Oryzias latipes: one gene and its partner. The main gene of each other region encodes a partner of the protein of the gene in region 2 in a complex. Links are inferred from orthologs where the notes say so. Each region holds a gene or a part of one and is shown on either strand. Other genes may lie near its edges. The genes, in order: gopc and cftr.

Evidence for each region.
Region 1: the proteins of cftr (region 2) and gopc are in contact, whole or in part, in an NMR structure (PDB 2LOB), measured with the Homo sapiens proteins. The link is inferred for Oryzias latipes from reciprocal best matches to the Homo sapiens genes CFTR and GOPC. Residues at the interface, in NP_000483.3 of Homo sapiens: Val1475, Gln1476, Asp1477, Thr1478, Arg1479, Leu1480; in NP_065132.1 of Homo sapiens: Gly298, Leu299, Gly300, Ile301, Ser302, Ile303, Thr304, Gly305, Glu308, His309, Glu317, His319, Thr347, Lys348, His349, Lys350, Glu351, Val353, Leu356.

What each region holds. Positions count from the first base shown.
Region 1 is NC_019882.2:11,934,695-11,951,128, reverse strand, and holds gopc (Golgi-associated PDZ and coiled-coil motif-containing protein), read right to left. Parts: upstream 10,109-16,434; 5' UTR 9,921-10,108; coding exon 9,660-9,920; intron 7,528-9,659; coding exon 7,363-7,527; intron 6,457-7,362; coding exon 6,433-6,456; intron 5,297-6,432; coding exon 5,121-5,296; intron 4,995-5,120; coding exon 4,829-4,994; intron 4,753-4,828; coding exon 4,657-4,752; intron 4,374-4,656; coding exon 4,209-4,373; intron 4,132-4,208; coding exon 3,957-4,131; intron 2,443-3,956; coding exon 2,324-2,442; 3' UTR 1,467-2,323; downstream 1-1,466.
Region 2 is NC_019864.2:3,327,311-3,343,010, forward strand, and holds part of cftr (cystic fibrosis transmembrane conductance regulator), read left to right. Parts: intron 1-8,863; coding exon 8,864-8,958; intron 8,959-9,586; coding exon 9,587-9,673; intron 9,674-9,930; coding exon 9,931-10,696; intron 10,697-10,795; coding exon 10,796-10,924; intron 10,925-11,007; coding exon 11,008-11,045; intron 11,046-11,307; coding exon 11,308-11,594; intron 11,595-11,707; coding exon 11,708-11,787; intron 11,788-13,522; coding exon 13,523-13,673; intron 13,674-15,700. UniProt on the Homo sapiens protein: Epithelial ion channel that plays an important role in the regulation of epithelial ion and water transport and fluid homeostasis. Mediates the transport of chloride ions across the cell membrane.

The DNA of each region.
Region 1 (16,434 bases), on a different chromosome or scaffold from region 2:
AACAGTCAAGACTCTTTTAATTTTTTTTCTTGTAAGCCTTTATTTGCATGTTCATTTGTTTCTCTACTTTCAAATAACAGCAATTTTGCTTCACAAACCCAAACTCTTGGTTGTTTTTCCATTTTTCTATAAATTAGTCAATCCATTCCTCCACAGAACTGCTCTTCCTTTCCTGTAGCACCCCACAGTGGAATGTGGGAGAACTGCAGTTCAAATTAAAAAAGAACTTTAGGGCTGATGTTAGGGTGGGGTCATTTAAGATAGATGACCCCACCCTTACATTGACGTGTTCTTCCTACCATGACAAAGGTGGATAAAGGTGGAAAGATTTCATGTAATCCATGGACACCAGTGAAGATCACAAATCATTGAAGAAAAAAGGTTCAGAGCACTGTCTAGTGGGTCTAGATGACCCAACTCCCAATGTTAAAGTGCCTAGGAAAGCACAAGGGTTAAAAATGTATTTTCTCTACTGAAAGGGGTTAAAATGTACATGAAAGAAATATGATAATTTTAAAAAAACGTAACAGTGTGGTTAGTGTGATCGGTATCAGGAAGTTGGAAAAAAAAAATAATGACAAAATTATTTCTGAAAGTTCAGATTGTTTAACTGCTTGAAGAGGTTGAAGCTGCAAGATTTTAACATGCATTTAAATTCTAAAACAGTTTGTTTCAAGAGTGGCAGCTGAATAACTCTATATTCCTCTGCATTTTCGTTGCACTGCTAATGCTAGGTTGGGGGTGTGAGAGCGGGAGCATGTGAACAGAGAACTCTCAGTTCTCTGGGTTGCTCCGCGCCAACAGTGCCGTCCACAACCCAAGAGGCAAATTTCCAATGAAGCCCTGCTGCTCTGCAGAAACTGTCCAAGAAAATGAAACAGGGTTTTGGGTAAAAACGGCATAATCATGATTAAAATACACCTGGGAACGACGCTTAGACCACCAAAAGACGATGATCAGAGAGAGTCTTTAAGAGTAGTGGTCTCCCACCTTTTTCAGGTCTTGAACCAACTGAATTTAAGACATGATCTGATAAGGTTAAAAAAAAAAAAAAAACAGGAAACAATCCGTATCTGCGTCTCATCTACTTTATCCTAATCTTACCCTTGGATGTTGTATAAGCGTTTGCTACAACCTGTTGCCCTCCGCATGCTGGCAGAAAAAGAAACTGCAACATATTTTTGCTCTTCAGGCTAACTGAGCGATCTAAACCTCGACATTTCCTGCAGGTCACCTGCTTGGCCCTGTTCAGGTTAGTTCATTTTTCGCCCACAGACAGCACATTTTTACCATATAAGGAATTAACTGGGAAGATCTGAATATTAGTTCTTAGTTTCTGCTTGACATTGCATTTTCATCAAGATTAGGGAACCATCTAAACGCTTACGTGTTATTTCTTTTAAGATCACTGCAACCTTTCTCACAGAGTTTCGGTTCCTTCAGGCTTCAAAAACTGACCTCATTCGGTTACAAACAACGCAAACCTAAAGCAGCCTTTATTTAAAAAACAAAAACAAGAAAAGCTCTACAATCTTAGTAAAAGAACGCTCAGCCAGAGACAGGAAACCAGAGAAAAGACAGGAAGTGACGTGGAAGCATTCACGCTCCTCAGTTAAAGGTGGTCCGGGTCAGAACACTGGTGGGTCACAGACGTGTTTACGGATAAATATTTCTGCTCCAAAGTCCAGGGTGAAGGGTTTGACCTCTGAAGACCTGAAGAAACTTCTGGAGACGTTCGGTCGCGAGCAGCCGTGTGTTACGCCAGAGTCGCACAATAAAAACTACAATAAAATACAATTTACAGCAAGTTACATACTTTCTGTGCCCCCTCCCCCTGCCTGCCCCCCCAACTGTCTTATGTATGCCGGATAGACGTGACCGAAAGAAGAGTGAGGTGAGTGACGGGCCATTGATTCATGGGCATCCTCATTCGGGATCCAAGGGGTGGGGTACCAGCTGATGTCCATGGGTGAGCAATGGGAGCCTGTATTTTGGAAGGGGTTTGTCAATTTATCAGACTGAGGATCTGTTGAGGTTATTCTCTGAGAGTGTGAGATGTTTCCATGTGCATACTGTACAGCAAAAGGCCCCCCTCCATGGTTGCAGTGTCTTCATGTGCCCCTGTCAGTCTTTAGTCCCCTCAACACTGCTGCCCCTGATTATAAACAGTAATAGAAATTCAGCCCCCACCCAGAGACACACCTCTAAATTTCAGTGGGAGTCTTAAAATGGCCGCTTCACCCCCACCCCCCCGCAGCAAGATACTGATCAGTTCGTTCCCTCGGATTGTCACCGACTCCGTTCAGTTCATTCCACTGATCTCCTACGAGGAGGCGTCGCTCTCGGGGGGCTTTGGAGCTCCTTCTTCGTCTGGACGGGATTCGCAGCAGCTTCCTGGGTTTCCGTTCTCTGCTCCGCTGTTTAGGGTCATGTTCTCCAGAGCTGGGGGGAGGGAAGGAGGGGGAAACATTCATGAATATCTGTTGCTCACATCCCGCACAAAAAGGTCATGTCTTAACATTGCTGACGAACTCGGTCTCCATTCTAAAACCACCAGAATTAAGCTTTTTTACTAAAAAGATCACTTTCAGCGTTTCACTGTGCAGCAAAGCATGCTGGGCTCTATAATTGATGTTGGCACTGCGACTACTTTCTACTCTAGGCCCCAAAACATGTCAAGGGAATTTTGGGCTCTCAAAGGTAATTTTACCAATTTACCATTAACATTCGCGGACTCATAAGATGCATCGTCAATGAATATTTTATACTTTAATAATATTTGATATTATACAAAACATAAAATCAGTTATAAAATACAAAACATGATTGCTAAACTAAACAGACTAAAATAAACTGGGCACAAACTAGGCCTGCACAATATACCGCAAATTTATCGTTATCGCAATATCCAGCTCTGCAATATGCATATCGTAAAAGACGGCGAATATCGCAATAAATCGCAAACCCAAAATGTGTTAAAACAATCTTCTAGCAGCTTGAAGCATTTAACGAATCAAATAAATCCCTTTATGCTTTGACCAATCAGATGGACGCCTTCCCATTGTTGACCAATCAGATGGAGGCCTATTATGTTAACCCTGGTCCTGAAGAGCCTCAACCCTGCCTGTTTTCCAGCTCTCCTTAACCAGCTTGCTGTTGATTGGCTGACTCAAGTGATTTCACATCCTGATTGACTGAACACACCTGATTTTGGTTATCATTATCGAGCAGTCTAGGGAGAATTGGAAAACAGACAGGGTTGAGGCTCTTGAGGACCAGGGTTAGCCACCCTGACGTTTGACCCCATGTCGATGAGGGTCATTTGGAGTATAATTTTTAAACTGTTGCAATGAAATGGGAATGATGTTTTTGTTTATTTTACTATTTGTTTATTTACCGCAAATTTATCGTTATCGCAATATTGATCACTAATATCGCATATCGCAAGTTTTCCTCATATCGTGCAGCCCTAGCACAAACCGATAAGGAAAAAAACTCTTTAAAATTAGTGCAATAGTGCATTAGTGCAACTCAAATATTTAACATTTTAAACAATCAAAGTCAACCTCTTATGACTGAATTCAACCCTTTAACACCAGAAATGTCACCAGTAACACCTAAATAAGGTACTCTCTGATGTACCGTAAGTCTTTGACTCTTGGAAAAAAGCAGCTTTTCCTATTGGGTTAGCACCCATATGCAACACATCACCAAAGTAAAGTAGCAGAATCAGAGGGAATTACTACGTTAGAGGCGTAAAAGGTTACAATAGCCGAAAGAGTGTCAACACTGGAACTAAAGTTCTGGTGTTAAATCAAACGAGATCAAGTCAAAGTCCTAAAAAATCCAATTCAAAACCTTTTTATACTTTTCAAATCCGACAGATAGTCTGAGTTTGGTGAAACGTGTTTCTCTAATCTGGACAATTGTGTCAATTTGTCTTTAGTTCATCTCACCCTGAAGTGAGGCGGCGTTGTTGTTGGGTGGAGCCCCGCCGCCGCTGCTGCTGTCCTCCAATTCATCCAGATAGAGGCGGTATCGATGTCCGCTGTCGTCCTCATACTCCACGTTCTCGTCATCGCTGTCCACCTCCGGCGCCACGTACACCACCTCAAACTCTATCTGGCCTCTCTAAAACACAATCGCCACAATGAGTAGGTCAGAGAGCGCTCCCTGTGGCCACAGCGGGGACTGCAGCCACACCTTACCTGCTGTGACAAGATGGTGACTGCCTCCTTGTGCTTCGCATCCCTTAAATTGATGCTGTTGACCGCGAGGATGGCATCTCCGACGTGCAGGCCTCTACAACGGTCTGCAGGTTGACCGGGATGGATCTCAGAAATCAGGATGGGAACGCCGTGCTCCTTCCCGCCCTAAAAGGAAATCCAAGTTAAAGGATCTAAAGCCAAAACAGGATCTAAGAAGTTTAACACATTTGTTCCATTACTATTGCAGAGGGTTACTTAAGACCAAAGTGACAAATTCACTTCCTGAAAAGTCTAAGAAAGAATCTAAAACATGGCTGGTAATTGGTGCTTCCTTAAGGTTACATTTCCCAGATACAAAGTGCCTGGTTCAAACCAATGCCTTCTATGGGTCTACTATGTGTCAGATAGTTGCTTTATTTTTCACAAAAGAGGTCAATCGTGTATTTACCGTGATAGAAATCCCCAAGCCTTCATGGTCCTCTTTGACCAGCGCCACCTTCCTGATAGGACCGACTCCCTGCGTTTTCTTCAGCAAGTCATGTTCCTGGAATTGCACCGATAGCTTTTAGCGAAACCATGAAAACATGAACGGCATTTAGATGTTTGAGATCTCCACTCACGTGTCCCACAGGAGAGGGTAGAGGTTTCTTTGGGTCGATGCGACCTCGGCATGCCCGGATTACAGTTTTGTGGCGGTGGAGGTGAATCTCGGCCTCCAGCTGGTTCCACAGCTTGTCATGGGCGGGTCCCTTCATGTCCCGACCGAGTAACTGAATCTGCTGCACCCTGAAAGTCACAGTGCCAGCCTCTTAGGGAAGACAACCCTTAGACAACCTAAGTCTCGTTTACTCAATGAAAAAGATTCATCACCAGGTCTTATCTTTAAACCCGCTGCTCCCTCCAGCTTCTCACCTTCCAGCCAGCTCCTTGTCCAGATATTTGGCAGCCAATCTGGCTCCGTACACCTCAGCTTGCAGTACTGCTATGTGCCTGCGGAGGGCCTCGTTTTCCTTCCTAAACAGATGCACTTCTTTCTCCAGTCTGGCCTCAGCTAACTTCTCCTTCTTACCAGCCATAAGTTCCTGTTCCTGGAAAAAAAAGCACAACTAATCACGTTTGAGCTTTTGCAAACTGGCGACACAACAAACTATAGGTTTTAGGACGATTATGCTCCAAATGATCAAAATGTTATATATCATGACATAGCTAGGTTTATATCCTGATTAAGATATCAGTAACATTGCAACGTGGAAAGGCAGTGTGACACGACTAACTGAACAATGGTCATAGAAACTAAATACTTCTTTCACTTAGAACCTTTTTCCAAGTGTTAATCATGTTAACATCTACTGCTAAACATATTTACTATTTAGCATAGGCCAATTCCTAGCTGTGCCTGAATGCAGCGTCTGGACTTTTGTGTGACTTCTGCAGTCACTAGACGCTGCTTTTATAGCTTTTGCTTGTTGATTCTCTCTGCATTCTTGGTTATGGTTCCTGTAGAGACGACAAACTCCATTAGTTGTGTGTTTGTTGTTAGGACCGGTCAACAGGTGTTTTGCCAAAAGAGAAAACCCCCCTGCACCCCGTCTGACAGCGTTCCTCACCAGGAAGTGCTTTCTTTTTGACACAACACCTTACAAACTTTACAAACAAATGCTGTCTGATCCACGTCGGTCTTCTTCTATACAAACTACATTCATGCGACGGAACAATTTTCTAGTCTGGAGCGCATTTGCTACTGACTTCCTCCATGTTTGTTTGGTGTGAGGCACATTTTGACGGAAAATAGTACCATAAAGTTCCTAATTCTGTTTTGAGCCGTAGAGCTTCATAAAAAAACAATAGATATTTTCTCTCATCTAGATATACAAGTTTCTTTAGGATTTAGACCAAATCATTGCACAAAACGAAATTTTTCATTAGGATTGTTTGCAGTTATTAGATTTGGCGTAACCATAAAGTGCCATCTCAGAAAACATTCTCATGGAAAAAGTCAACGTTGACACTGACTGATGAGCTCATATTTCCATTTCCAAGATGGTGACTGGCCAAGTAATGACTGTAGCCAGTGAGGGGAGGGGAGGGAGTGGCGTTTCCACCCAACAAGCCACTGAAGCAGAGTCGACAAAGCAGCAGGAAGTAAATATCAGCTCAATGAGGGAAGCAACAGATCCCATGGTGTCAAATCTACAGCTACACCAAAGCGGAGAGGAGAACTTACCATCACCTCCAGAGTTGGTGCAGGCTTTAAGGACAGAAGAGGAGAAAGGACAGACAGAAGAAAATGTGGGTTAGAGAAACTCATCTTTGATTGGTGTTAATGTGTGCACAGGAAAGGCAAAAATGACAAAGAATCAAAGTGCATATCAGGGCTTCAGGATGGTGCTGAAAGGGAGCAGAAAACTGTAGATGGAAACAGTAAAAGACCAAACCATCAGTTGCAACAGTAAACAAAGGAGTTAAAATAAACATTCTATTTGTTTAAATCCCATATATTCTAAATGAAAGAAATGGAAAAATGTATTCTTTAGCAGTGAGGAGAAATCTTTGGTATGGCTGCTGGAGGTCATTTCATGCGGTTTGGATGTATTTCTACCTTTTCTTATCTTCTTTAGTTTCGCTGAGTCTCTTCAGCGTCATCAGAGATCTGCAGATAAAAGTGAATTTTCCACCACTGTGGCCTGCTGAGCTTACAGTGAGTGGAGGATTCTCCCGCCCCATTGAAGCCTCTGAAACCCAGATCTGTGTCTGTCACTGTTTGTCCCAGTGGAGCATTCTTCTGGAGACATTTATGATGTAAGAAGCTCCATAAAAACTCCTCTTTCTGAGATTCATTGAGGACATTAGTGCAGAGCAGTGGAGCTAAAAGCACAATGCTGTTTTAGTTTTGTAGTCGCATTCTGACTAATTTATATTTCTTTATCCTGTCTAACCAGAGATGTCTTTAATAAAGATGTCTGAAAACACCAGGTGGACGGCTGAAGGCTAACGTTGATAAGGTTACCCATGACTGCTAGCTCCAAACGGCCGATAACTGTTAGATCTATTCTGTTCGGATCATACAGAACTTTACCATTAGAATTGAACCTAATGGATTTCATTTGATGTTACTTGATGGATCAATCGATGACCGTCTGACCATCCAACCTACCAGTCTGTCCTTGATGGTGTCTGAGTCCTCTGTCTGGCCTTGCTGGGCCCGAAGCTGCAGCTGGAGAGCGTGCAACTGCAGCAGCAGTTCATGGACCTCCCTCTCCGCCACCACCCGCTCAGCCTTCGCCTCCGTCAGCTCGGAGCGCAGGTCGACCAGCTGAGCCTGGAGACAAGCGAAGAGTGTTTTTCAACATAAATGCAGACAAGTCAGACCAGGACCGACCTTTAGATAATCCTGTAACAGATCCTTGATTTAGGGACTGTACTCCACCTGGCAGGTTGAATGACGAGAGGAACTGTATGTCGTAGCAAGACTCAAACGGACAGCACCACAGTTGCTTAAGGGGTTCCGGACCAGCTCAGACAAGTAACCGTAGACAAAGCTCCTGCATCGACGATGCAGATCAGAAATTCTGAAGAAAAATCCTTCTGAATATATAGGAATGTTTTTTGCTTCGTTCATAATTATTGATACATGTGTAAAACAAAAACGTTTTGGTAAATTACAAAGCAAAATTTGTTGTTTTTTCTTTTAGCTTTTTATGCGATTTGAGCATCTAGAGGAATTCTGTTTCATGCAGCAGAGCATCAAAAATTTTGAGTTTCCAGAGTTTAAATATCAACACTTTGCATTGCAAATTAGGAATTGATTTCCATGTTTTTATGCGGTCAGAGACATTGGCATTTATTACACCACAGTCTATTACAAACGTTTCCTTTCGTAGACAGACAGTTGTAGTTGTGTAGAGCAGTGGTCCCCAACCATTTCAACGCCACGGACCAGTATGACGTCACACAGAGGTTCCACGGACCGGTCATGTAATTAAAGGTGAATGATTATTGTCGCTATACTACGATAAACGACCAACAGAGATGTGGCAAGACGAACCCTAAGCTTTTATTTTGACACTCACTCATGACACTGTACACCTCACAGGTGTCATCATCTTCTCCCCCTCCCACACTCATGGTGCAAAAAAGAAGCACTGTCTATTAAATGTCTGTCTCCTGGCTGGGCGTTTTCCCTTTGGCAAAGAAACTTTCCAAAGACGTTTGTTTTTTACTCTTTTTGCTAGCTCCTGGGTTTTATTTTAGCTGTAATCTGTCACGTGACGGAGAGGAGCGTCTTGGCCTGCATCAAGAGTAACATAGACGGATGTCACAGAGAATCAGGCAATTTTTCAAAATAAAACATCTTTCAGATTCCTAAATAAATAAAACAGAAGTCATGTAAATTATTATTTTTTTTCTCTGTGGCCCGGTACCAAATGACTCACGGACCGGTACCGGTGCTGGTGAAGAGTATATGTTGGATGCCAGAATGAAACAAAACAAGACTTTTTGGATATTCCAAGCCTCAAAATATTCCTATCTGACCTCTTGCTGTGGCTGAAATTGAATGTTTAGCAGCTTTTCAACATGTTATAAACTCTTTTTACACGCATTTGAGAACACTTTTTAACTCCCTCTGGAATTACTTTCCTCACTACATAAAGAAAAAAACTTTTCAAGGGAATAAGAAGATGCATTTGGCACATCTGGATGCAGGGAGGGTTCAAGTTCATCTGAGCAGCGCAGGAGGTAAAAAAGAAGCCAGGAAATAAGACGACCAACCAGATTCATTCGCATCCAACAGCAATCGCATATCATCCTCTGACCATGTCATCCTGTTCTTGCATGGAAAACAACTGTAACCATGTGGTTGCCTATGGCAACCATAGCCAGTGGTTTCTGTGTGGATTTACAACCATTAGCTAACATTTTCTGGTGAGAATTAAGGGGGCCTAAAGTTTGTCAGAAGGTGCTGGGAGGAGATATGATGAAGAGAGGAGATCTTCATCCAGATGCTTTGGTCCAAAAAGAATCATTTGGAAAAACTGGTGACAGATTTTCTTTCCCCCAAATCAACCAGATTTTCCTGTGTTCGACATAATAGATAACTCTTTTGTTACGTTGGAGTGATAGGACCAGTAACAATAAAACAACAAAACAAAGGCAAAACAAACAAAAAAAAAACAGTTCGGCTCCCTATGTCTGTGAAAAATGTTTTGGCCCCACTTTTATTAATCCTGTCATAAAATAATGGAATAAAACCCCAGCTTTTATTTTTATAGGTCGCCTATTTTTACCGCAATGGTAATGTCTGTTGTGAATTAAAAGCTAGACAGATCAGTAGCTAATCTTGTTAGAGAAAATGCTGACTTTTCCACGTTTATCTGGGAAAGACACGCAAACAAAAACATGACGACAGCTATCACGTTCAGTAATCCCTGGCTGGAGTCCCTTCACACTCACCTCCAGTTTATGGTTGAGCTGGAAGACCGTTTGGGATTTGTGGCAGAGCTGGGCGAAGCAGGAGCTCAGGCTGGTCATCTTCTGCCGACCCTCGTAGGTAATGTCCACCTGGTCCGGGTCTATCTCCCCCAACAGGAGGTCCACGTCTACAAAGGCCTTGTCAAATTCCTTCTCCAGCACTTCCAGCCACCGGAACATAGACAGAGCAGGGCCGAGGCCCGAGCTCTGGCCCGACGGGGAGCACCCAGCGGAGGATGACATGTCCGAGGAAGAAGGGGCTGAGCAAACTGAGGCAGAAAAGATCTCCGGCGGTCCGCGGAAGCAGTTAAGAAGAGAGACCCAGACCGAAGACAGGAACGGAGGGTTGACCACGGAGAAAACTCTGCGGTACCCGGAAGTCCGTCATCAGGATATCGAGCTTTCGGCGTAGCGATTATTACGGTCTGAACGGACGGATGGGCGCTCCATTAGTTTTCCTGCGCAAACTCTTGCGGCATTTTTTTTGTTTTGTAGTGACGTCACCTGCATATCCAAATCCTGTTCGCCTTTAGAAAATAGGGAAATAAATAAATAAATAAATAATTGAGTCAGAATCTGGATGATAATAATAATAATAATAATAATAATAATAATAATAATAATAATAATAATAATAATAATAATATTACAAATTAGTTAATTTATAAATAATAATTATTATATATTTGACACGTTTTAAAATTAAAGCTATCTTTACGATACTCAATCACCTGGATTGCACAAGGTCTACCTTCATGTGAAAATTAAATGAATTAAAAAAGCAAAAATAAATAAATAATGTTATGTTATGTTTAGGGGTCAAACTATTTCCTATAAATGTTTTTCAATCCTGGAAATTATGTTAACCTGGTCGTAATCGTGTTCTCACAATAGTGATGGGCAAATAAAGCGTCATTGTGAGTTGCACATTTCCTAAACGGTGTAAACAGTGTGTTGGATGGTAGAAACTCATTGCTGTGTGACATAATAGCGACATCTGCCGGACTTTAGAAGTCATTGCAGACAACTTCAACGAAGACTGGAAACAAACTGAAGATATGGAGGACCAAATGTGACAAGTTGAATAAATAAATACAACTTTAAATGTCTAAATAAACGTGTCATGGCATTTTGAATTAAAATTATAAATGTTTCATTATTCTATTTAAGAACTACTTTTATCATTTATACTTGCATGCACTTTTTTTTAGTTGAAGTTGAAAATAAACTTCATTTGGTGAAAACTTTAATAGTGACCCTTACTAAAAGTCATGTGCAAAAAATGATGAAACCTACATTTCTGGAAGGAGTAATGGAATACTCTAAATCATCACAGATGAGGAAATACAAGCATAAAGTGACACTTTCAGCAGTTCAAAAACTGAGAGACACACAATGTTTCTCCTTTTGGGCATGATAATTATTTTCATACTTCGGTTTGTAGATGAGGATATATTTTGTTTTTATTATTTTCAAACTGTGATCAAAGTTGCTCAAAATAATTTAGAGAAAAACTCAATTATACTTTAACTGTGTTGCTTTAATTTTAAAATAAAAAAAGAAAATGGTATGTTTCCTCTAAAGAAATATCTGTTTTAATATTTAACCTTACGTTTAGCAGATTTTTTTTTTAAAGATCCAAAAACTATGAAATTTTCAATTTAAAAAAACAAAACAAAACAAAAAATCTTGTTGGATCTAATTTGAATGTGTTTTGGATATTTTAGATTCAAAGTTTTACAATATAAAACTAATACTACATTTTTCGCTCATGAATTCTATACACCATTTAGAAAACAATGAATAACAAAATCACATTAAGCAAGAGCAAAAATATGACACTGTTGTTACGTTTGTGGAATGAAAGCAGAAAATTACCGGTAGTCCTGAGTGAGGATGTGAAAAGAAATAGAGAACGGATATTCCTGAGGTCCGAGGGGAATTGAGCATTTGATGGTGTGGCAAGCGCAAAGGAAGATGATCAAAGAGAGCGGCCAAAAAGAAACAAATTCCACACATTTTCTTTATTAAATACAGAAGGCGTTTATGTAAATTTACTCCTTGTGTCCAAAGCAACACCTTTCCCAAATGTATAAGTAATATCTGTCCAACACAAGAGGCCCTCAGGTCTCAGCTGTTTGCTAAGATGCTGGACCGGAAAAGTAGAAAACAAATAAATAAAATGATTTTGAATTTAAATTGATCTGGGACCTGTGGAACTGCTGGAGAACCAACGTAATAAATGGAAGTGGTTGTAGAGATGGTATGAGCTGCTGAATTGTGAACGGAGGCTCAAAGGAGATGTTTGTGAGTGAGACCAGGGAAAAGCAAGTTTTTATAATGTCAACAAGAGATAACAAGACTGTAGACAAGAACAGCAGTGGTATAGGAGGTTAGAGAACGTGAAAAGGAGGTTAGAGGAGACGGAAAGGACAGAGTACACTCAAGACGGGAGGAGGAAAGAGAGTGAGAGTCGATGGAGGGCAATAACATTTTGGTTTGGACATTATGGATTTGAACTAACATCGAGACACCCAGTTTGATTGCTGTCAAGTTCAAGAAAGTTAGTGGAGAACCTGCTGATGATTGTAAAAAGTGTTCATCTTTTCTCTGCAGGCATCGTTGGAAAAGAGGAGTACCTCAATGGAACAGATGGAGATACCTTGTCAGAGTAGATTATCCAGATATTGGTACTACAATGTGGAGTGGCTGTACTATAGAGAACCAAACAGCTTCTGTTAACTACCAGAGAAGTTGAACAGTGTTCAGCAGCAGCTTCCAGGCTGAGTGTGAGCAGAGACGGCTCCCTGCTCATCAGGAACATCACTGCTGAGGATGCTGGGTTACATGTCGTCTCGGATCCACAAATAAGCATGATTCACAAATGTACTGTTTGAGCAGTGAGTATTCTGACTTGAACTGTTCTTCATGTCTGAATCACAACAGTTTCATAGCTAATTGGATTTTTAGAGTTTCACCTGTCTGACATTTTGAAGAACACAGAATATTGGCAGGAAAAAGAAAAAAAAAACAAGTTCAAACAACTTTCTTAGTAAGTAGGAACCTTCAAATGTACGACCATCCATCACTGGTTTGACTCTTAAGGGCTTTTGCCTGTCACATCTTCTTGATTGATCCACAGTGTTTGATTTTAACTGTAATTTTTCATTTTTATTGTTAAAGTCTACATTTTTCATTAAAAGCAAATTTAAAAGAAAAGGAATTTACCCGAGATATTAGGAAGCATAACAATATAAATAAGCTGATTAAAATCTGTATATTTCCGTTGTCACATCAGTACACACGCACACAAAAATTGAATCTATGCACTTTAGGAGTTGTATAAAGTTTCCATCCTGATAGTTATAGCATTGTTATTTAATGAATAATGCCTTTTTGCAATTCTCTGTTCCTACCACCTCCTACGGGCGAATTAAAGTCATCCTCCACTGTTATGAAAAAGAGAACATATAAGCTAAAATGGAATAATTGCTTCGCTAACTTAGTTGTTTTATGTATCACTCTATATATGTACATTTTACAATCATATTCGGTCCAATATGTTTCTGCAATGTTTGTAAAAAGATTCTGATGAGATTTGAATCAGTAGTTGGTAAATATATTTGGGCTCATTTGCTTGTAAATCTGACTCTGAAAGACTCCGTTAGCCACAAATAACTGCACATCACTGGTCTGTAGCGAGCGGTTTTAATATGCAGACTTGACCTTGGTTCTCTCGCCATCTGCGGGTTACCACACTCGGTTACGTCATTTTGGATTTTATAGGTGGGGATGCACGAGCTCAGAGGCAATTCACCAAATATGCTTGCAAATTTGTGATAAAGAAAAACTATTCCTAAAAGTGAAATGTTTTAATTACAACTAATTAGTTTTTAAACATCTTGACTTGATCTGCAATGTGCAGCAATGATCACTGGTTTAATGTGATCATGTGTTCTATAATCAATGATTATTACATATCAGTTACCTAAAGTGTTATTCATTAATGTTTACTGAAAAGATGTAAGAATTCTTTCTGAGGATATTCAATAAGCGCTCGGTTTTGTTACTTGAGCTGCAATGTGTAGCAATGATTTCTGGATTTAATTAAATTGTATTCTGATTGTAATCAAAGAGTTCCACTTGTCTGTTACATAGTATGTGATTCACGTTACTTTTTACTGTATTCATGAATAAATGTTTACTGAAGCTAATTAATTTTCAATAATCACCTGATTTTATTACTTGAAAAGAATCTATCTGATCAGAACCGGAGTATGAAAACTAAAAAAAAACTAAAAAATGAATGAACTCAGTAGGGGTGGGATTATCCCTTGTGCTATCCTAGGCACTTTAACATTGGGAGTTGGGTCATCTAGACCCACTAGACAGTGCTCTGAACTTCTTACCTTTTGAAACAATATTTCAAGTTCTACTTGACTTTAGTTACTGATTACTATATTTAAGTGTGCCTTTGTTTTTTTGTATGTTTATCTATGCATTCCATCATTTCTGTAATGATAAATCTGTATGATTTATTGACTTCAATTAATGCTTGAAATTAATCAAACAAGTTCCCGCCTAAACCCAAGTTTTTTCTTTTTCTTTTTTCATTTTTTTTTACTTTTTTAATGTCCACATTTTTATTTTTAGTCTTTTATTTCTATTTTTTGGCTGCAGCCCAAGCAAAAAAAATAAAAATAAAACAATAAATTGTAAAAGCTGAGAAGAAATGTGTTCTTGGGTAGCAGCATTGTTCCAGGCAGCAGTGGATGCAGTTTGTTTTATCTCTTTTGGTGGTTTGCTTTGTTAAATACATATTAACTTGTAAATTCACTTGGTTTAATCTAAAAGAACAAGATTAACGAGATTTATGTTAGATTGACGTTGGAAACATGCTTTATAAAAGACACTTTATGACTTTATTGTTATACAATTTAACATCTTTATTGCTTTTTGTCAGAATCTCATTTACCTTTGAATGCTTTAATATTAGAAAAGCGATATAACATGACAAAAACAAAAAGCTGCGAGAAGAAGGGAAAAAAAGAAAATGCTTTATAAGATAAACTATTTGTACTACAGTATGTCTCGTTTTGCATATTAACACATTAAAAAGAAACTGTGCACCAATGTGCTGTCCTCATCATCATCATCAGCTGGACAGAAGTCACTGCTGAAAGGACGCAGCTGTGGAGTCGTCAGACATCACTGTCTGCTTCTTTTCACTCTATTTTAATGGACGAATAGATCACCTGAACTTCTTCCGCATTTATCTGGAACACAAAAAAAAATAGTTCTCATCCAACACTGTTGTTCTAAAAACTGTTGAGAGATGGAGACAAAAAAAATTCGAACATTAAATTTATCACAATATTATCATTTTCTGAAATAGAAAATGTTATGCCATTTAATTTATTGTAATTGAAACCACCACAAAATTGTGGTTAAAATATACTACTTTAATATAAATGTGTAAAGATTATGTGTAAAATGTACCTTTAATGTGTAAAAAAATGTATTGAACTTAATATAATATTAATATAATATAATAATATAAAATATGACATTTTTAAACTACCTGTTAAACAATTTTTTGTTTAGAGTACTGCTTTTTTGGGAACTGAATCGAAAACTCGCTTTAAAAAACTTTTAGAAGATTACTGCTTCTCTGTACTCAGTCATGTTAACCAACCCAACACTTGTACGGAGACCAGGATCACAGCAACCAAAGTGACTTACTGTAATCTTAGAGGAAGCCTTGGATTTGGAATAGTTAACCGCAGCATATGTCAGGTCACTCTCTGGCTCACTCTGCAGCTCAGACTGAACACAAACACAGAGGGGAATACATGTTTTTAAAGCAGACATCAATGAAACACTGTAGTTTGATGAATGCATGATGAGTAAATTATATGCAGATTATGTTTGATTTTCTTAATAATCATAAAATAGGAATAAACATGACTACTGTCATGAGTATGCTAAAATAAAGTTGAATTGCCCCAGGATGTCTTTTAACAATCTGGAATAAAAGTAACTTGACATTATCTAAAGTACACGATAAGAATATTTTTTTATTATTAAAGAAATACCTTCATTACTTATACTAGTAAACTTTTGTGTAATGATACTTACATTTTGATGTGTCGGCTTTTGAAAGTCTGAAATAAAAAAAGGTAGATTTTAGGAACCAGCTGACATCCACAGAAATGATTTTCTGTTCTGTAAAGCTTCGTTGTCAGTTTTAAGAAAAAATGTTTTGAGTCATAACTATAGGAAAATTTTCGTTTATTCGCTTTCTAAATCAGTTTTTGTCCCTTTTGGGGTCACGGGGCTACGAAATTAAACAGCAGAAAAGATTTGATTTAATGGATAAAAAATATTACGAAAAATCACACTTCACAATGACTGGTTTCAGAAGTAAAAAGGAACTTCATACGCTGTTGTTAAATGGTGCCAACATTTCTTTGTAAGTCAGCTACATTTGGAGTGTTCTGATTTCTTCATCAGAACCTCATCACATTCATTGTGGGTTAAGAAAAAATACTGTACTTGTTCCTTTTTTCTGATCCTTTGTGGCTTTGGCTGTCCTGCTTCTGAAGAGAAAAACGGTAACGACGACCAGCAGCACCAAAACCACACCGACCACAGCTCCAATGATGATGACTGTGTTGCTCTGGGGAGATTCTATGACAAATAATTATATTTGGGGTTTTTATTAATAGTAGCATGTTGAGAACAAAAATATGAGCTG
Region 2 (15,700 bases):
GTGAGAAACTGCTTATATGATGTGCACAAGTGACATCATGATGTGAAGATTGAGCAAATAGTTTGGGGAATTTCATTCTGATCTGAGAATTGTACTAAAGCGACTGAGAAAAACTGTAATAGACTTGTCCCTGTTAGCAAACTAACGGCACTTGTAGAAAAATCCTCACTGTACCATTGTGTATATATATATATATATATATATATATATATATATATATATATATATATATATATATATATATATATATATATATATATATAAAACAAAAAAAACGCCATTCTCACCCTCCGCGGGTGGTTTCTCCTCCAAGCTCGGGTCCTCTACCAGAGGCCTGGGAGCTTGAGGGTCCTGCAGTATCTTAGCTGTTCCTAGCACTGCGCTTTTCTGGACTGAGAGGTCTGGGGTCCTTCCAGGTATCTGTTGTAGCCACTCCTCCAGCTTGGGGGTTACTGCCCCGAGTGCTCCAATTACCACAGTCACCACTGTCACCTTCACTTTCCAGGCTTTCTCCAGTTCTTCTCTGAGTCCCTGGTATTTCTCCAGTTTCTCATGTTCCTTCTTCCTGATGTTCCCATCGCTTGGCACTGCCACATCCATCACAACGGCTTTCCTCTGTTCTTTATCCACCACTACAATGTCTGGTTGGTTCGCCATTACCATCCTATCAGTCTGGATCTGGAAGTCCCACAAGATCATTGCCCTCTCATTCTCTACCACTTTCGGAGGTGTTTCCCATTTTGACTTTGGAGTTTCCAGTTCATATTCTGCACACATGTTCCTGTATATTATTCCAGCCACTTGATTGTGGTGCTCCATGTATGCTTTCCCTGCCAACATCTTCCACCCTGCAGTTGTGTGCTGGATTGTTTTAGGCGCCTCTTTGCACAGCCTACACCTTGTGTCTTGTCTGGTGTGGTAGATCTACATCTTGGGTCTTGTCTGGTGTGGTAGATCTACACCTTGGGTCTTCTGAGCCTCTATGGCTCTGGTGCTCAGGGCTTGTTCCTGAGCTGCCAGGATGAGTGCTTCAGTGCTATCCTGTAGGCCATTTCTAGCCATTGGTAGGACTTCTTGATATCAGCCACTTCAGTTATGGTCCAGTGGTACATCCCATGCAGGGGTTTGTCCTCCCATGAGGATCTGTCCTCCAGCACTGTATCCTCTGCTCTCCACTGCCTGAGACATTCACTGAGCACGCTGTCAGTTGGGGCCTTGAGCTTGATGTATTCATGGATCTTGGATGTTTCATCCTGGATAGTGGCTTCCACGCTCACTAGTCCTCGGCCTCCTTCCTTGGGTCTAGCATACAGTCTATGTGTGTATATGTGTGTATATATATAAACACACAGACAGACAGACAGACAGACAGGCAGGCAGGCAGGCAGGCAGGCAGGCAGGCAGGCAGGCAGGCAGGCAGGCAGGCAGGCAGGCAGACAGACAGACAGACAGACAGACAGACAGACAGACAGACAGACAGACAGACAGACAGACAGACAGACAGACAGACAGACAGACAGACAGACAGACAGATAGATAGATAGATAGATAGATAGATAGATAGATAGATAGATAGATAGATAGATAGATAGATAGATAGATAGATAGATAGATAGATAGATAGATAGATAGATAGATAGATAGATAGATAGATAGAAGAAGTTCCGGTCAAATAGCATTAACGTTCTATTTCACTGCTCTGGCTTCTTTAAAACAAACTTTAGCTTCATCATCTGGACAAAAACAAGCGGTAAGAGGTGAACCTTTTCTCTGATCTGATGCTTTATTTAAACCCATCGTGACAATCAACATATATATGACTCAGAAAACTTGATTCACTTTGGTGAGTGACTCATTTAAACTCGAGTAAGTTGAAACAATCAAGTTTACTATCACAGTCCAGAGTTTAAAATGAAACCTGTTAAAGTCTGAGTAGAGCTCATCAGGATTTTAGTGTAGGAAGGCTTCTGCTGATCACTTATTATAGATCATTTTGTCACACATATGAATTCTCATAGAGTTTAACCCTAATATGAACAAAATGTCCTCTATGTTCCAAAGTCACTAAAGAGAGCAGCACACACAGTCCTGGAAATCTTTGAACTGGACAGCTAGTGTATAACTATACGCACATCTGATATGTGGTAAATAGAAACTTCATGTCTTGAGAAACCTGCTAGAACCAGGTCATTTCTAACTATAACAAAAAAAAAAAAACCTGAGCTGCGTCACAGTAAAAAAAGGATAGAAAATCAATCAAATTAGGAAATCTCTTTAGAATTCATGACCAGGATATATGTGCCACAGTAGACAGAATAGCAGTAATATATGCAGTACTGCTAATGCACAACACAACCAGACAAACAATTTGATTTAAAACATTTAAACATGCATTTTCATTTACATCAACTTCTTGAGTCAATCAATATTTTTTTAACATTTTTAGAAATGCAAAGATAAACTCAGTGTAAAGCACATGTAAAACATAGATATAGTTATCCAGAAAGACACAAAAATACATTTTAAGGTTTTTTAAAGACTGGCATGACAGACTTTTATTGGAATTTATTGTTGAAATTGTTTCTTCCCTTTTTCTGTCTAATGAATGTGTAAAATTAAATGTCTCGCCCTCAGTGATGAAGGTTTTCACAAAAACAATCAGGTGTTTTCACACAAACAAAGCTGTGATGCTATACTGGTATTTCCAATGTAAAGACAGCGTCTCCACTTTTACTTTGAGGACAGATGTAAGGCGAGTGATTTGAACGCAAAACTAAAAACAGGAGTCCCGTAATTCCATTCTGCCATATCTGAAAATCCACAACGTGGTGTTGGGCTGCTAGTCAGGGGCTGTTGGGCTCTCTGAAGGTGGGGTGTGTAAGGTGGGGGTATGTGAAGAATTTTGGAGGCAACAGGTATGTTTGTAACACTTGAGTACGTGTGTGGACAGGCCCCGCCCCTTTTGATTAACATTTACACCAGACAGTAATGAAGATAGTCCTCCAGCATCTAGTTGCGTATTAATTTGTACACCCCCACCACCACCTCTGTAATCATCTTGAGATTTCCTTAACTCCCCTTTTCCCCCTGTCTTCTGTGGCCTTACCCCCTGTCTCTAACATCCCTTCCTTCTTAAAGGATAAAGGATGAAATCAATATAAATAAAGTTTAGCCTAAATTACAAAAAAGGTTTATACAAATACATGCCTTGTGTGTCAGAGGATCCAGAACCCCCTGAAGTATCGGTAAAATATGTACAACACAAGGGGCCTTCAGCTCCTATCTGTGTGCTCAGCTGTTGGACAGGACAAGGAAGAAGAAAGAAAAAAGGACATTTTTCTAGAAATTATTATTTCATATCAGAGATCAAGTATCAAGTTCATACTGGAATACATCAGCTGACACATATCTGTGAAAGAAAATCTGGATTTGAGAGAATCTTGTTCCATCTGTGACTTAAAGAAGTTAAAGAAGTTTTGTGTTAAAACATCCCTTTGGTGATGAGCGTTGTGTTTTTTGCTGATTTCATTCTGCCTCCTGCTTTTGACACTTAGCTGTTAACTTGTTTCCGTTTGCACTCCATTTGGAGCAGCAGGAGCTGCAGATGAAAAGGTAGGAAGTTTTCCTCTTGATGTTCCTCAGCACAGTCTCTGTGTGGACTACGATCACCTCTTCTTATGACATGATGTGTCCTTGTTTTTGTCTTCTTGCAGTGTCCGTCGTGTGTTTTTTGTTTGGTGCTTTTTTCTATTCAGACCAGTGTCAATTTTTTTTGTTATCACATGTCACACTTTGCCTTTTGGGTTAAATTACCTTTGGGTTTCTGTGATATTTTTTATTTATTTATTTTTTTAGAAAAAATCAGTCTATTGCCCAAAATGATAGTTTTCTAATTAGAAAAACATTTTAGAAGGACTGCACATTTAGCAGATGATTAAATGTGTTATTTCCCTTTTTGGTGTTTATCAGGGTTAGTGTTAAAGTCAATAACCCAAAGGTTTTATTTAAACCTTAAATCCTTTTTTACATTGATGTTGTCTCAAAGCAACAAACGAGGACAATGCTAAAGAAACCGAATCATGCCCAAGAGGGTTTGGAACTTTTCAAAGTAGATGTTAAAACATGGTCAAATCCAGTTCAACCCATTGACTGTATATGAGAAATGGACTGAGTGACTCCTCCCCCCTGGCGTTCCAAACAGGAAGAAGCCAAAATCCCATAGAAGTCTATAGAAAAATAAACAGCTGTTACTTGGTCATTCTATTGGTCAGAACAACCCTTCTTACTCTGATACATTTCTTAACATGTTCTTGATAATCCTATTTTTTTCATGATAATTTTTATGCAGCACAAGTTATTAAAATTATAAACTGACCAATCAGTTGCCTCAAAAAGTATGTGGTCTCAGTTCTAAACGTTTGATTGACAGATTCTCCTAAACTCGCTTTCAAGTAGTAGGGGTGTGGCCTTTCAATAAGCTCACTTCTGATTCGCAGTTAGTGGTTGCCATAGAAACATTGACTCAGACCAATTCGGACCAATCACTGCCTACTGGCTCCAACATGGTGGCGGTGTATGAATGGCGACTGAATTGACTTAATTTCATAGGAGCCACTTACTCCGTCTGATTCCCATTTACAGTCAATAATTTGACTCAAATCCTTTCAAATGATCATAATTACAATTTGTTTAAAGATTAATGTAAGTGGCAAACACATTAAATAGAAGAATTTTAAATTTAATGTACCAAGCTAAACATTTATTTTAACATCTCCTGAAAGGAAGTAACCTTAAACTCATGTGACCAAATGACAAATGAGGACAAAGACGATTGTTCCCAGAATATCTATCTTCAATTCAAACCAAACTTTATTTATAAATCGTGCTTCTTATGTATTGCGCAGCTAGAGGTGCTTTACATTTAAAGGGCCTATCTTATGCTACTTTTAAGGATTTTTTTAGAGTAAACTATATCCATATATCTTCTTCTTTCTCTTTCGGCTTTTCCCATCAGGGGTCGCCACAGCGAATCATCCTTTTCCACCTCACCCTATCATGAACATCTTCTACCCTAACGTTAGCCAACTTCATGTCCTCTGTTAAGACATCCATGTATCTCCTCTTTGGCCGTCCTCTTGCCCTCCTGCCAGGCAGCTCCATCTCCAACATCCTTCTACCAATATATCCACTATCCCTCCTCTGAACATGTCCAAACCATCTCAGTCTGGCTTCTCTGACTTTGTCGCTAACACAGGCAACATGAGCCGTCCCTCTGATGTACTCGTTCCTTATCCTGTCTAACCTGGTCACTCCTAAGGAGAACCTCAACATCTTCATCTCCGCTACCTCCATCTCAGCCTCTTGTCTCTGTCTCACTGCTACCGTCTCTAACCCATAGAGCAGAGCTGGTCTCACCACTGTCTTGTACACCTTTCCTTTGAGTCTTGCTGGCACTCTTCTGTCACACAACACTCCTGACACTTTCCTCCAACCGCTCCAACCTGCCTGCACTCGCCTCTTCACCTCTTTTCCACAATCCCCATCACACTGAACTGTTGACCCCAAGTACTTAAACTCCTGCACCTTCTTCACCTCAGTCCCCTGTAACCTAACACTTCTACCTTGATCCCTCTCGTTCAGACACATGTATTCTGTCTTACTACGACTGACCTTCATGCCTCTTCTTTCCAGAGCAAACCTCCACCTCTCTAGCTGTTCCTCCACCTGCTCTCTACTCTCACTGCAAATTACAATGTCATCCGCAAACATCATTGTCCAGGGAGATTCCTGTCTTACCTCGTCTGTCAGCCTGTCCATCAGCATAGCAAACAAAAAAGGACTCAAAGCTGATCCTTGGTGTAGTCCCACCTCCACCTTGAACTCCTCTGTCTGACCTACAGCACATCTCACCACCGTCATACTTCTCTCATACATGTCCTGAACTACTCTGACATACTTCTCTGCCACTCCAGACGACCTCATACAGTACCACAGCTCCTCCCTCGGCACCCTGTCATACGCCTTCTCTAAATCTACGAACACACAATGCAGCTCCTTCTGACCTTCTCTGTACTTTTCCATCAACATTCTCAAAGCAAAAATGGCATCAGTGGTGCTCTTACGGGGCATGAAACCATACTGCTGCTCACAAATCTCCACCTTCTTCCTAAGCCTGGCTTCCACTACTCTTTCCCACAGCTTCATTGTGTGGCTCATCAACTTTATTCCTCTATAGTTGCTGCAGTTCTGCGTGTCACCCTTGTTCTTAAAGATCGGGACCAGAACGCTTCTCCTCCATTCCTCAGGCATCTTCTCACTCTCTAGAATCCTATTGAACAACCTTGTTAGAAATTCCACTGCTGTCTCTCCTAGGCACTTCCATACCTCCACAGGTACGTCATCAGGACCAACGGCCTTTCCGCTCTTCATCCTTTTCAGAGCCTTCCTAACCTCATCCTTTCCAATCTCTGCTACTTCCTGCTCCACAACAACCACATCTTCCTCCCTTCTTTCCCTGTCATTTTCCTCGTTCATCAGCTCCTCAAAATACTCCTTCCATCTTTTCTGTACACTCTCCTGGGTTGTTAACACCTTTCCATCTCTGTCCTTAATCACCCTTATCTGTTGCACGTCCTTCCCATCTCTGTCTTTCTGTCTGGCTAGCCTGAACAAGTCCTTATCTCCTTCCTTTGTGTCTAACCTGTCATATAGCTCATCGTAAGCTTTCTGTTTGGCCTTTGCCACCTCTCTCTTCACTCTACGCTGCGCTTCCTTGTACTCCTGTCTACCTTCCTCAGTCCTTTCTACATCCCACTTCCTTTTAGCCAACCTCTTCCTCTGGACGCATTCCTGTACTTCCTCATTCCACCACCAAGTCTCTTTACCGTCTTTCCTCTTTCCAGATGACACACCTAGCACCTTCCTACCTGTTTCCCTGATAATCTCTGCTGTAGTTTCCCAGTCATCTGGAAGCTCATCCTGACCACCCAGAGCCTGTCTCAACTTCTGCCTAAATTCCTCACAAGTTTCTTCATTCTGTAGCTTCCACCACTTGGTCTTCTTTTCTGTTTTCCCTCTCTTCTTCTTCCTGACCTCCAGAGTCATCTTACACACCACCATGCGGTGCTGTCTGGCTACACTCTCTCCTACCACCACTTTGCAGTCATTAACCTCTCTCAAATGACCTCGTCTACATAGGATGTAGTCCACCTGAGTACTCCTACCTCCACTTCTGTATGTCACTCTATGTTCCTCTCTCTTCTGGAAGTAAGTGTTGACTACAGCCATTTCCATCCTCTTCGCAAAGTCCACCACCATCTGTCCCTCCAGATTCCTTTCCTTCACACCAAACCTGCCCATCACCTCCTCATCACCTCTGTTGCCCTCACCAACATGCCCATTAAAGTCTGCTCCAATAACAACTCTCTCTCCTCTGGGGATACTCTCTATGACCTCATCCAACTCACTCCAGAATCTCTCCTTCACTTCTAATTCACAGCCAACCTGTGGCGCATACCCACTGACTACATTCACCATCACCCCTTCAATTTCTAACTTTAGGCTCATCATCCTGTCTGAGACTCTTTTCACCTCTAGAACACTGTTTACAAACTCCCCCTTCAGAATCACTCCTACCCCGTTTCTCTTCCTATCAACACCATGATAGAACAGTTTGTATCCTCCTCCAATACTACGTGCCTTGCTGCCCTTCCACCTTGTCTCCTGCACACACAGTACATCTACCTTCCTTCTCTCCATCATGTCTGCCAGCTCTCTGCCTTTCCCTGTCATTGTGCCAACGTTAAGAGTCCCTATTCTCAAACCTATGTTCCTGCCTTTTCCCTTCTCTCTCTGGCCACGGACCCTTCTGCCTCCCCTCTTTCTTCCACCAACAGTAGTCAAATTTCCACCGACACCCTGTAGGTTAACAGCATCGGTGGCGGTCGTTGTTAACCCGGGCCTCGACCGATCCGGTATGTCTAAATCTTTCTCGTGGATGATTCGCATGGTTATTTTGGCAATTTTTACGCCGGATGCCCTTCCTGACGCAACCCTCTCTATTTATCCGGGCTTGGGACCGGCACAGAAGTTACTGGCTTGCAACCCCTGTGGCTAGATTGCAACCCCTGTGGCTAGATCCATATATGTGATAATATATTACCTTTGGCACACTTAGGAACTATTTTTGTAAATGAAATTATTGGTTATTTTCACAGCTCATTTTCTGAAGTAACACAGCTCATTCTTAGAGTCACTGCCGTCCGCTCCATGTGGGTGCCGCCCATTTAATGACGTCAATCTAGAGTCGTCTTCTGCGTTTCACCCACAAAAACAAGCAACATCTAAAGTTTTGCAAAGATTGATGTCCATGTTGTGCACATCAAATGAAAGCATTTAGCCGATCATCGCTAGCTCAGTGGAGAACGTGAGTGTGTGTGTTAGCCAGGGGGCGGGGCTGGCAGCACAGACTCTTCCTGGAAGGGGCTGTTCTTCCTTTGTGACGTCACAATGTGAGGACCCGCTCATTTTCGTGGGTTGGGAGGGGCTGGTGCTAAAATCTTTGCAACACACTCCAGAGCAGAGTATTCTTGTTTCTGTGATAAGGAACTATCAAATGCTGTATTTGTTTGTGTTTCATTCTCATTTATAGTTTTTTTTTCTTTCTCCTTTGAGAAACTTTATTGTTGTTGATCCATTTAAACTCAAGTCAGGATTGAGCCTCTTTGGACATACAAGCAAAGGCTTTTCAATGCTTTACTTTCTTAGTTTGATCTCTAGCAAATTTCAAAATTCGGTTTCAATAAATTCCCCTTTTTACTTTTACGGGGGAATCATGCTGATAAACGTGTTTTTCTCTCTTAAGGACTTTGCGTCACTGCCTGAAAAAGACAAGACAGCTCTTGGTGAAGGAGGATCGACGCTCAGCGGCGGTCAGAGGGCACGCATCTGCTTGGCCAGGTACTGACTGCACAGCTGTGCATCAGTCTGGGCACAGACCTTTGTTTTCACCAAATGTGGGCACGAATGAAGTAAAAAAAAAAGTTAAAAAGTCCAATAACATTATTTTAAAGTAACATGTGAAGGATTCAAACGGTTTGGGAATTACTAAAAGTTTATTTAATATTTTAGGAATATTAATTTTTAATCATTTTAAATTACAAAGGTACATTTATAATCCAGCTGCTTTGATTATCAGTGGAAATCCAGAGGGAAAAAGGAATTTTTCGCTGTTATCAAAATAGTCTGTCCCTTCACAGAGGATGGTTTGCTTTCTGTTTTGATTGTGTGTGAAAAAACTCCTTAAAATGTTTTACTGTTTATGCAGAAACAAATCATCAGACATGTTCTCATTTTCCTGTGAACGATTTATTAGTGTTATGTTGTAGCAGTGATTTGTGGCCTCTGATTGTTTCTACCCTCACTGGAAAGGGTCAGCTGGAATGATTTACTGTATTTCCTCACCTTTCCTTTGCTTCATGTTTAGGAACAGCTGTGCTCATTGTTTTCTCTTTACTTCAACTCTTATTTTTAATGTTTTTCCTTTGTGTTCTTCTCTGACTGGCTGCATTGGCACTCTGTCTTCCAGGAGTGTGTATAAAGATGCAGCCCTTTACCTGCTGGATGCTCCTTTCACCCACCTGGACATTGCAACAGAGAAAGAGGTCTTTGATAAGTACGTATGCCGACAGAAACTCTTTCAAGCAGCAGTGGGGTGGGAGGGATGCTAAAGTTCAAGGTTAAGGTTTTCTCTTGTTGTTTCATGTTTATTAGCTGTGGTGAGCAGTCGGTCTGTAAGAATTACACTCTGATGAAATGATGTCTGGTGTCATGAGACACCTTATTCTGCATTCCAATATGTGCTTTTCAACAGAAACCGTTTGTATATTTTGCTAAAGATCCATTTGAGCATGCCTCATCCTCTTTCCACAGATGTGTCTGTAAGCTGATGGGCTCCAAGACCCGTGTTGTGGTCACCAGCAAGCTAGAGCACCTCAAGCGTTCAGACAAAATCCTCATGCTGCACAACGGAGAGTGTTACTTTTATGGTACATTTTCAGAGCTGCAGGCACAACGCCCCGACTTCAGCTCCCTCCTGCTTGGTCTTGAAGCTTATGACAACATTGTCGCGGAGCGACGCTCTTCCATTCTCACAGAAACTCTTCGCAGGGTCTCGGTTGACGAAACCGCTGGCTTCCGAGGCCCGGAAGCACTTCGCCAGTCGTTCCAGCACGCGCCACCTCAGGGTCACAACGGGGTTGATGGATACCCTGAAAAACGCAAACAGTCTCTCATCCTTAACCCCATTGCAGCTGCTCGCAAAATCTCCTTTATAGGGAACTCCCAGCAGACAGGCACACTCCAGCCGTCACTCATGGAGGAGGGTGGCAATGAACTTTCCGACAGAAGATTCTCTGTGGTGCCGGAGGATGATCAAGTGGAGGAAGCACTTCCAAGGAGTAACCTGTACCACCACGGGCTGCAGCACCTCGGTGGACAGCGGCGCCAGTCCGTCCTGGCTTTCATTACTAACGCTCAGGGCCAAGACCGCAGAGAGAGGATGCAGTCATCGTTCAGAAAAAAGCTGTCTGTCACACCACAGTACGACCTGGCAACAGAGCTGGACATCTATGCACGGCGCCTGTCCAAGGACAGCGTTTTTGAGATCACAGAAGAGGTGGAGGAAGAAGACATGGAGGTGTGCCCAATACACAGGCTTTTTTTCATGTGTTATCAAATGCAAACAAATGTTCTTCAGTCAACATCTGGGTACAAGTGTCTCTTCTGTTTTCCACAGCAATGCTTTGCAGATGAGCGTGAGAATGTCTTTGTGACTACCTCGTGGAGCACTTACCTCCGCTATGTTTCCACCAACAAAACCCTGATATATGTCCTTATTTTCATTGCTATTGTTTTTGCCATTGAGGTAAGATTCAAACCCTTTTCAAGTCCATGCTTTTAAAGTTGTGAGCATAATATGAACATCTCTGTCCTTGTCTCCACTGATAGGTTGCTGGTTCAGTCATTGGTATTTTTCTCATAACAGAGTGAGTGTCAGTGTTCCTCAAAACTGAAATAAAACTCTTCATTGTCAAACAGAAATCTAGTTTTCAGAGTCTGAGATATTTGTTTTGGAGTGTTTGTTGGAGTTTTTTGGAAATGTTTTCCTTTTCACATTATGTTTAATTATGAACCTTATCAATGGTAGGTTTCTAGAATTAAGTGGATGTTTTGAACCTTAAGACAAAATGTGATCATTTTTCCGTTGAAGCATAGCGTGACTTTCTGTCTTCTGCTCTGTTTTATCAGTAAAGTCTGGAGAGATGGTGCCAACCCAAACTCACCCAACTACATCGATGATCAGCCCATCAATTCCTCGTCCCCCCCGGTCCATCTGGCAGTTATTGTGACTCCGACCAGCGCCTATTACATTATTTACATCTTTGTGGCCCATTCAGACAGCATACTGGCCCTCGGAGTCTTCAGGGGCCTTCCTTTGGTGCACTCACTGCTCACCGTTTCCGAACGACTTCATGAGCAGATGCTGAGCGCTGTGCTGCGCGCCCCCATGTCCGTGCTCAATTCCATTAAAACAGGTGCCCTTTTCTTTGTTTTGATGTCATATTTACCACTTTTGAGTAACCACACTGACTTCCATTCTCACTGAAGTGGGGTGTAAGGCTAACTTGGATATGTCTGTGTGTTTTAGCTCGCATAATGAACAGATTTACCAAGGACATGGCCATTATTGAAGACATGCTGCCTCCTATGCTGTTTGACCTCATACAGGTATTGTACAATAAAAATGTAACCAAAAATTTCAATGCAGGCAAAATCCTATCTTTGTAGGTTCAAATGAAGATCAAAAAAAGGGTTTTGGTGCTGGTTGGTGCAGTCACCTCTTGCTTGTTCTTTGTTTCTTAAAACTATCCAGTGCAGTTAAATTCATCTGCAGTCAAAATGCTCTTATTTTGTTCAGAAATATGGCGGATGCAGGATGGGGACTTGAACATGACCCTTGGTCTTTAATTGCATTTCATTCTTAAAGGCTGGAACTTGAGACTTGACTCCAAACCATTGACTGTACATGAGAACTGGACTGAGTGAGTGGGACGTCACCCATAGAAAAGGATTTACTTCCGTCTCCAACCAAATGAAGTCATTTTTTTCTTTTTTTAAAATACTGATGTCGACATGCTGGAACCAGACACCATCAGTAAACAGTGATTGGTCCAAATCAGACTAAGTCATTGTTTCTATGGCAACCACTCTCACCAATAAGGAGTGAGCTTTACAGAAGTTCACACCCCTACCTCTTGAAAGCGGGCTTCACAAAATCTGCCAATCAAACGTTTTAAATGTTGAATGTGAGACCAGCTGTTTTTATTGAGGCTCCTGATTTCTCAGTTTATAACTTAAAAAACTTGTAACAAAGAAAAAGTATCATGGAGAAAATAAGAATCATCAAGAACATAGTAAAAAATGTAGCAGGGCCAAAATTATTATTCTGACCAGCAGATTGACTAAATAACAGCTGTTTATTTCTCTATAGAAGTCAATGGGATTTTGGCTTCTAAGAACCAGCAGGTACTTCCTGCTTGGAGCAACAAGGGGGAGCAGTCACTCAGTCTCTTTCTCATAGAGAGTCAATGATCTAGACTAGCTCTGTGACTTGTGAACAGAGTAGTCAACCCCTGATTGGAGGATTGCAGGTTTGGCTCCCGCCCATGAATCAAAATTTCCTTGGGCAAGACACTGAGCCCCACAATGCTCCTGGTGGTGGTTACACGTTGGCGCCAGTGTTCAGTAGTTGAGCCGCCATCAGTGTGTGTGAATGGGACTGTAACTGAAAAGTACTTTGGGCCTTTGAGCAAGGTAGAATAGAACTTTACAAGTGCACACCATTTATTTCATTTGATTCCATTTCAATTCAAATACAGATTGGGGAGTTGATTTGAACTTGCAGGTACTGTAGGTCTTGTAAGCATCTTTGAAAAAGGGGGTAAGTGAAAAACCTGCAAGCATTTTTCTTCATTCAACACCTTCCACCACCGTTCAAGGAGGCCCAAAGTGCTGTACATAAAGTTACATCAACAAATAATATGACGATAAAACAAAGAAAAGGATCAAAACAATTAAACAAGAGTTAAAAGCATAATAAAAGGTCACCTAGGCAGATAATGAGGCACGTAAGTGGAGGAACAGTTTCTTTAAAACTGTCCAAGAGGGTAGCTTCTATAATAGCCTACAACAACCTAAATAACATTCCTTCCTTCATTTTTTGGATGCCTATGTATTCTTTTATTCTATCCATAAAATGCAAATGCAAAGAAACTATTTTTGTGTCTCATTGCTGGGTACTGACAGCCACATGATGTCTAGTGCAGAGTGGACTAAATTATGCTTTCTGATGGAACAAGTACTTTGTTTGAACCACATTTATTTGGTCATCTTTTATTTTGTCGTATATGTGGTTTTGAATTGTAACTTATGCTCTCCTATCACACTCTTTCTCTCACCTTAGTTAACACTACTGGTCATCGGATGCATCTTCACCGTGTCCATCATGCGACCTTACATCTTCATAGCTGCCATTCCCCTGGCTGTCATATTTGTTGTCCTGAGGAAGTACTATCTACGAACAGGACAGCAGCTCAAACAGCTGGAGGCTGAAGGTAAATAAAGGTCCTTTGTCTTAAAAAGTGTCTCTAAACTGCTGCTGCTGATGATGTGTCAGTACCAACCCCCCGTCTTCTGTCTCCAAAATTAACACAAAACAAGTGTCAAATAATCCAGTTCCTCAACAGATTGCTGGTGTCAGAAGGGAGAAAATTCCTACTGACTCCCATGTTGGAAGTGGGGTTTATTAAGAAACATATACCATCTTTTCCGCAGTATAAGTCGCAGCAGCCTAAAATACATAATAAAGAAGAAAAAATCTTATCGCCACATCACCAGTCAAACAATGCAAAACATTGTGACTTATACTCCAAAAATATCATATACAGTCGGATGCTTTTATTTTTAACTAGTCAATCATTTTACTGCTCAAATGTGGTATTATTTGGGTCAAGCAGGGCCACACTCTGGTGCAGAGGTTAGCACTCTCACCTCACAGAGTGAAAGCCCTGGTTTGTGTGGAGTTTGCACGTTATCTCTGTGCAAGCGTGGATTTTCTCCTGGGACTCCAGTTTCCTCCCACAGTCCAAAAACCTTCTTCATAGGTTAACTGGTTACTCTAGAGTAGGGGTGGGCAACCATTTTGACTCGTGGGCCACAAAGGCTTTTTAAATTTGTCAGAAAGGCTGGATCAGGAGCAGATCTGTGTCGTGTTTTGATAATCCACCATGAAAAATTTCATGGAGTCTGGACAAAAATAGGAATCAATTTTGATTAAAATTTTTTAGATACACATTAAACAGAACATTTTAGAGCTATTATTTTAAAACTGTTTTTTTTTTCATTTTCCCACCAATTGCACCAATGATGTTCTTCATTAAAAACACGAACTTTGAGAAATGCTGCGTTCGTGTGCTTTTGGAATGATTGGAAACATGACTGCCCCACTTGAAAAACATACATAAACATTAGAAAAACTCTTCCAACACCACATGAATACAGAATGTATTTCTGCACCTAAAACACGTATTTGTCGTCAATATATTTGTAGAGCACCATCTATGGGGGTACACCATCATCACAGAGAAAATAAAACATTAATAAGCATAATCAATGTTTTATTCCAGTTTGGTGGGCCAGATTAAACAGTTTAACGGGCCGCATGTTGCCCCCGGGCCATGGTTTGCCCACCCCTGCTCTAAAGCGGCTCTAGCTGTTCATGTCTTAGTGTGTGTGGGAGTGATTGTCTTGGGCACACATACACAACATTTCTTTTGGACTGGATGGAAGATAGAAGAGACAGAGAGTGATGGATGTTAGAGATGGAGGACAGGGGTCCAAAAAAGGGAAAAACGGAGCTCAAGAAGCTGGAGAATGATTAAAGAATAGGAGAGGGTACAGTTCCGAAAAAACGCATGCCTTTTTGATTGGCAGGTGTGTGGATCCTGGTGGACAAAAAGAGCTGAAAACGCTACTTTGTCCCACTATTTTTGGAATGTTCCAGAAGTGGGCAGAGCAAACTGCCCATCCCACTTCAGGGTTTGTTTTTGCCAGGGAGAATCCAATGGGTGACGTCAGACATTTTCTGGCTGACCATTAGCTGCGAGCAGGCGCCGAAAAAAAGCCCCTGAGGTCCAGCTGGTTGTTGTTTGTATTTCACTGCTAAAGTCTTGAACTTTAGCCTCCTCTACTTTCAGTAGAGTCAGTTGCTTTTTCAGGGATCCTTGACGGAAAAATGAGCATCAGTGCTGCTGTTAAAGACCCACTTTGAGAACAATCAAATCCATCGTTCAGACGTGGTGAAATGACGAAGAGGGTTGAGTGAAAGTGATGCCATGATGAGAGTGTAACTGGTGGAGTTTTCCGCTCTGCGTTGTGTTCAGGCGAATGAGAGACCACACTTGGATGCCGAGTCAAACTCTTTTAATCTGTACCTGGTTAACAGAAAATACAAATTCAGAATGCTGTCTGGAGTTTCTTCTGTGTGATTTTTTTCCCCCTCAGCCACGGCTCCCAGCAGTCTCAGTGCTCATGCTTATTAGCACCTCCCCCCACAGCATGTAAAGTAATACAAAAAGAACAC